2 linked regions of the Saccharomyces cerevisiae S288C genome follow. The protein of the gene in region 1 binds, or shares a complex with, the protein of each later gene. Each region holds a gene or a part of one and is shown in the gene's direction. Other genes may lie near its edges.

What was found. Proteins that work in one complex are often made in the same cells at the same time.
Region 2: the proteins of TLG1 (region 1) and VPS51 are in contact, whole or in part, in a crystal structure (PDB 2C5I), measured with the Saccharomyces cerevisiae proteins. Residues at the interface, in NP_010756.3 of Saccharomyces cerevisiae: Pro7 (codon at 2,040), Phe8 (codon at 2,043), Gln10 (codon at 2,049), Val11 (codon at 2,052), Asp14 (codon at 2,061), Glu17 (codon at 2,070), Gln18 (codon at 2,073), Arg21 (codon at 2,082), Ile22 (codon at 2,085), Tyr25 (codon at 2,094), His29 (codon at 2,106), Asp34 (codon at 2,121), Gln37 (codon at 2,130), Glu40 (codon at 2,139), Ile41 (codon at 2,142), Asp43 (codon at 2,148), Ile44 (codon at 2,151), Asp47 (codon at 2,160), Glu50 (codon at 2,169), Thr51 (codon at 2,172), Asp54 (codon at 2,181), Leu55 (codon at 2,184), Arg57 (codon at 2,190), Ser58 (codon at 2,193), Val61 (codon at 2,202), Arg64 (codon at 2,211), Asp65 (codon at 2,214); in NP_012945.1 of Saccharomyces cerevisiae: Lys9 (codon at 2,062), Leu11 (codon at 2,068), Arg12 (codon at 2,071), Val13 (codon at 2,074), Ser15 (codon at 2,080), Leu16 (codon at 2,083), Asp19 (codon at 2,092), Arg20 (codon at 2,095), Leu22 (codon at 2,101), Leu23 (codon at 2,104), Leu24 (codon at 2,107), Glu26 (codon at 2,113), Phe27 (codon at 2,116), Leu30 (codon at 2,125).

Annotation. Positions count from the first base shown.
Region 1 is NC_001136.10:1,397,263-1,400,721, reverse strand, and holds TLG1 (Tlg1p), read left to right. Parts: upstream 1-2,021; coding exon 2,022-2,696; downstream 2,697-3,459. Other genes in the region: mitofusin complex protein UGO1, read left to right, coding at 1-1,016; SDC1 (Sdc1p), read right to left, coding at 1,180-1,707; protein kinase PKH3, read right to left, coding at 2,905-3,459.
Region 2 is NC_001143.9:476,301-479,332, forward strand, and holds VPS51 (Vps51p), read left to right. Parts: upstream 1-2,037; coding exon 2,038-2,532; downstream 2,533-3,032. Other genes in the region: IRS4 (Irs4p), read right to left, coding at 1-1,763; ALY1 (Aly1p), read left to right, coding at 2,934-3,032.

The DNA of each region.
Region 1 (3,459 bases):
ATGAAGAAGGAGATGGCGCTGCGAGAGAAGGAGAAGAAGATGCTTACGATGAGGAGGAGATAGATTTCTTTCCCATAGAAAGGAAGATCGCCGAGGCAAACTCTACTGCGCCTATTATGGCCGAAGAAACTGATCATTCACATCATGAACCTACTGATATATCCTTGACTATTGCACCACAGTCCCTACATACAATTGACGTAATCAACGCCCTATTTGATCAGGAGGGTATTCGTGGTCTATGGAAGGCCAACAACACGACTTTTATTTACAACTTTCTTTCCCTAAGCATAGATACTTGGTTCACAGGATTACTCTCGTCTTTTTTGGGTGTCCCTGACCCATATTTTATGGAGGTCATCAACTCTCCTGATATTTCTAAGTCCTTCATTTTAGCCTTAGGCGCGGGAGTATTTACCAGTATTATATTATTACCTGTGGACCTGATAAGAACTAGATTGATAGTTACATCATTCAAAAAAAAGAAGAATGTCAAGACAGATGGAAAGAATATGGTTACTAATACTAGAAGCTTGAGGCAGTTAATCAGATGCTGGTCATGGCGTAAAAACGGAGTTTCCATTCCATTAGATATGTGGTCCCTAACTATTCTTCAATCTATCAATAATAGCTTTTTCAACAAATTGTTTGATTTAGTCATCTACAACCAATTCCATATCGAAAAATACTCTCAAACCGTCATGTACAATACTATGAAGTTTTTTTCTAAATCACTTGAACTATTTATCAAGTTACCATTGGAAAACCTGTTACGTCGTTGTCAACTAAACTACTTGTTGAACGATCAGCGGTTATCATTTAAAGTAGATTCCACTGAATTGATAGTAAAGCCAAAAAAATACAATGGCATATGGGATGTGATAAGAAACAATTCTAATACAAATAGAGGCCAACTTTGGAACGGTTGGAAAGTTGGCGTTATTAGTTTAATTTGCGGATATGGGTTACAAATGATGAATAAAGTTGATATCAACATGGAACAAGAGAAGTTCTGAACTGGGATAGTCCCCCATTTTTTTTTATGTTCGCCCATGGTATTCCAGTGGCCCTTTTTCTCCACAATTTTTGTATCCAATTTTCCTCCACCACTTGTCTATATCCAAAGGTTTAATAGTAAGGAAAAATAAATACACATGTATATTTATATAATTATGGTTATCATTTACTAGCATTACTCTCTTTTTCTCCACTCTTCAGTATATTGCTCTGCTCGATTAGATATTCACCTAAAACACGTAACGGATCTTCTGGTTGTTGTACGGCTATGAGCCTCATGCCCGCTAATAAATGCGGTGTCACATTTGTATTCAGGTATTTTCTAGTTTGTGAACCACCTACCGTCGCGGCAAGGTTCACATTTTCTAATTTTGATATTTTAGGTTCAGATGACTCTTCAATGACTGAATTTGTGCTACTCGATTCTTCTATTTTTACATTTTGGTTGGTGACACTTTTGATGTTTTTCAAATCTTTCGTTGCAGAAGATGGTACACTGTCAAATTGTAAGTTATCAGAGTTATTATTGTGATTGCCATTCATATCGAAGCATTCATTGTCATGTTTATCGTAGTTCTTATTGTCTTCGCGTTGAATTTGCTCCATTGGAATATCAGCATTACTTGAAGTATCCTCTACCATAGGAACCGTAACTTCATTATGTTGGGGACTATTCTCACTTTCATTCATTGTATAGGTTTCCCTAATTCTCTTAAGAGAACCTGCTTATGAAGGCTTTTTTTTGTTTGGATCACCATCTGTTTTTCTTTTTTTATCGAGTTTTTAATTATCCACGAGATATTCGAACCTACGACATAAAGTAGTAAATATCAGAAGATAGGACAATTCGAAGCACACAACACAGAACATATACTAAAATTATATTTGCTGTCTTTCTGACAAGGTTTGTGAACATTTTAATTTCTACGTTTTCCCTGTAACTGAAGTAAACGTGAAAGACGTTTAACTGTAAAATTGTATTGCTAAGATCCTTTCTTTAACAAATGAACAACAGTGAAGATCCGTTTCAACAAGTTGTTAAGGACACCAAGGAGCAATTGAACCGCATAAACAATTACATAACTCGTCACAATACTGCTGGTGATGACGATCAAGAGGAGGAAATACAAGATATTTTAAAGGATGTTGAGGAAACAATAGTTGATTTGGACAGAAGCATAATCGTAATGAAAAGGGATGAAAACGAAGACGTGAGTGGTAGGGAAGCACAAGTTAAAAATATAAAACAGCAACTTGATGCTCTGAAGTTGCGTTTTGATCGAAGAATACAGGAATCTACTCAAACAACTATTCCTCTAGAAGAGACGGTGGAAAATTCAACACTTAACACCAGCATGGCTGAGAACAATGATGGTGGTATGTCCAATCCGTTTCAGGAACAAATGTTAAGAGAACAAGATGTTCATTTAGATGGTATTCACAAGACAATGCAAAATTTGCATATTCAAGCTCAAACAATGGGGGATGAATTAGAGAACCAGGGACAATTGTTGGATAATATGGACGAGGGTATGGACGGTGTTGTAAATAAGCTGGCTAGAGGTCGTAGGCAATTGGAATGGGTCTACGAAAAAAATAAAGAAAAATACGACGATTGTTGTATAGGACTTCTTATTGTCGTCTTGATAGTTTTATTAGTTTTGGCATTCATTGCTTGAAAAATACAATGCACTAATGCCGAAGAGCTTCAATCGAAGATATACTGGGCATATATAAAATACATGCATTCTGAATACATAAGTGATACGGATATTAATGCTACAAGGGTTTGGATATGATTTATATGTTGGTTTTTCTGGATCGTCAACAACTCGTGCATATTTTTTTGTTTCGAAGTAGAGGAACCACAAATATTATTAAAGCGTGTTATTTTTTTTTCTTACTCTTCTGTAAACTTCTAAATGCTGCTGAGGCACCCCTACTAGCAATTTCCCTATCAAAGTTTGTTTGGCTGTTATTAAGGGTATGTAAGACCTCGTATCTGCTGCTACTGATCACCATGTTAGAAGGAGCAGAATACTTTTCTCTCGTAGTTGGGAATTCCATTTGCGGAAGTGGAGGTGAAGGTGTTGGCTGTCGATATCCTGTTGTTTTGATTTGAGGCTTGGTCGTAGAAGATGAAGGAGAAAATACGGATGATCCCTGCTTCTTCGAAGTTAAAATATTATGCTTATTGTTCCCTACATTAGTAGAAGGCCTATGATTAAAAGCTGGGACCGAACCGTTGGTATATGTATTGGTAGAAGGTGCACTATTTGGTAATCTTCCATTCATTTTTTTCGGAGTTTCACCAGCGTTATTGCTTGACAAAACCCTAGGATGTCTTGAAGAAGGAGTGGAATTTGCACCGGGCCTATCCTTGGTACTACTAGGTATGCGAAAAGGTTTTTCTTCTCCAACATTATCGTTTTGTGGTGCATT
Region 2 (3,032 bases), on another chromosome or scaffold:
TGTTTGGCCATCGCCTTTAGCGTACTCACTGGCACAACCGTGGTGGAAGCATATCTATCTACGCTATCCCAAACGCATTGCTCGACAACATTGGGAAGTTTTCTGCCATACAGGCACTGATCGACCAGCCACATACCCACAATAAAAGATTTCCTATCTAAAGTACCATCTTTTCTTGTGTCTACCTTCGTGTAAATTTCTGCCAATAGACTATTGGGCAAGTTAGACCGCTTCCAGATATCACGGACTATGATACCCAATATCAATCCATCTTCGGGTAAAGTATTAATTGCTCCGGAATCACCCGTTATAGAGGGCCACCAGCTCAACAGGTTCAAATGACGGTGTCTGTTGCTTACCCACATGCTTTCGTAACGCTTCCTTTCGTTGTCTGTTACGAAAGTTATATCTGTATGTGATTTCCAGGGTTTATCCTCATTGAATTTCCGATCTCTCGTGCGGTGGATAGGCCTATGATGTGCAGTTTTATTGGCAGAATTCCTGATCTTTCTCTTAATTCTATCTCTTTTGCGTGGCTTGGTCAAGGCGTCCTGGTTCTGATCAGATTCAGAATCAGAATCAGTATCGTCATACACATCATACGTGTCGTTGGACGGATTGTACTTATACCTCAGATTTCCCTCATGTAGAGAGGATGCATGATCATTTTCTGCGTTTGTACTTACAGAGGTTTTACGTAATGTTGTTTTAAATCTCATACTCGGTTGTTGTTCATGTTGTCCCAGTTCTTCGCTGCTTGCATCCATTTCATATTGTGAAGATAAGTGCTTGGGCTTACTACCAAATACTTTCCTTTTGAACTTGTTAACAAGCTTCTTCTTCCTCATATCGGATGAATAGTTCGGAACCAAGTTGGGCAAACCACTTCCCTGGTTGCTCGTTGTAGTAGTAGTGTTTGAGCTTGCAATAGATGGCTCTGATTCACATAACGAGAGTTGATTAATTGTTTGAGATAGACTTGTTTGTGACCTATTAGAAATAACGTCTGAAGTGTCCGGATTGAGACTATGTCTGGAATCGATGCTAATTGATGATAGGTTTTCATTTTCATGAAGCTGACCACTGCCGACAAGTGATGATTGCAAGGGAGGAGACGGCCTGCGTTTGGGCAGAGCTTTGTTGCTGTCTTTATTAGTTGCAGGCTCCATAGAGCTCGAGGATAGCCTTCTACCGCTACTAAAGGAAGTAAGTAAATTCTCTTGAGATCTATTGTCGGGAGTTCTTTGGCCAGGCGTCAGTGATTCATTGGAGCCGTTTCTTGAGCTTGAGCGTGAATGAATGCCCAGCAAGCCATTCAAGTTCGGAGTTTCTAGAACTTTTAGTGTATCCAATGCCGAAGAATGGGAGGAGTTATTGTCAGAACTAAGTTTCGATTGTGAATGCGCTAAAGCAGCTGCCATTTGAGCAGTACTACTAACATTATCTTTACCTGCAGGGCTTGACCTGTGTTTCTTAGACAACTCAACATCATTAGGCGCCGTTGTTTTAATCTTAGGTACCTGTTTTGTTCGTATGCGTGCCTTCTTTTGTTCTTGTTTCCGCCCTGACTTTTGTAGCGATGGCTCTGATAACCTAGTTTGAGGATTCCTGCTCACCGTTACTGGAGGGCATGGACTGCTGACCTCATTGGAATGGTTCTGGAAGATAGCTTGCGCAGCGCGAAGGGAATCTGAAGCTCCTTGTTCAGTCAAAGTTACTGTTGTACCGCCATGATAACGCTGTTTACCAAACGAAAGTCTCATACTCCTCTGCTAATCTTTTCCTATGTCAAAAAAATGAATCTACCCAGGCCTTAAAAGTATGTTCTACCTGTGCAACGAGAGTGTTGTTGTGGCAAGGGTCCATTACACAATGGGCCTTTTTGTGATGATTCAACTTCGATATGCTTTATACGAGAAATCATCGAATTTTCGCTGCGTGGAAACAAGAGGCAGTAAGTTGTACGTATAGGTGAGGCTCTGCATAGAAGAGGCGTATTTGCGGTGAGACGGAATCTGACGAGGATATTAAGTACAGATGGCAGAACAAATTAGTCACAAAAAGTCCCTGAGGGTGAGCAGTCTGAACAAAGATAGAAGATTGCTCTTAAGAGAATTCTACAACTTGGAAAATGAACCGAATAAAGGTCGTCAAGAAGCACGTATAGGGGAAAAAGCCAGCGAGGCTCATTCTGGGGAGGAGCAAGTCACAGATGTGAATATAGATACCGAAGCAAACACTGAGAAACCAGTGAAAGATGACGAATTGAGTGCAACTGAAGAGGATCTCAAGGAGGGGTCAGAAGATGCAGAAGAAGAGATAAAGAACCTGCCCTTTAAGAGGCTAGTACAAATTCACAATAAGCTCTTGGGCAAAGAAACCGAGACTAACAATTCTATCAAGAATACCATTTACGAAAACTATTATGACCTAATAAAAGTCAACGACCTTCTCAAAGAAATTACAAACGCCAATGAAGACCAAATTAACAAGTTGAAGCAAACAGTAGAATCTTTAATCAAGGAACTGTAATTTCCAGCGGCATATCGTGGCTTTCACCGAACACTTCCTTCGAGAGAGTGCATTTTACTATGTGAACCAATTTTTCCTCTTTTTCGGTTTGCAAGTTCACCTGAAAAACTGCTTAACACTACTAGCAATTGCCCTATTGTCGTACGAGGACTTTGCCAAATGTATTCCCGGCTGTTTGTAGTATATATACGCAGATATATAATAGCGCCGTCTTTTTACCTCTTTGAGCGAATTGCCAAATATTGACTCTTTTGTCTTATTTCGCTATCCCCATCTTATCAAAAATGGGAACAACTCGTTGAAATAAGAGACAAGCAACAAGAAAGACAACCAACAGAAAGTTCCATTCCGCACAAATACGCTGGAATCCCATAGAATATTGCTTGTTCCTCTATGACTACATGCTCCAATTCAATACAGAAAATGATACTGTAGCTCCAGTGTTTCCCATGGAGCAAGATATAAATGCAGCACCTGATGCCGTCCCACTGGTGCAGACA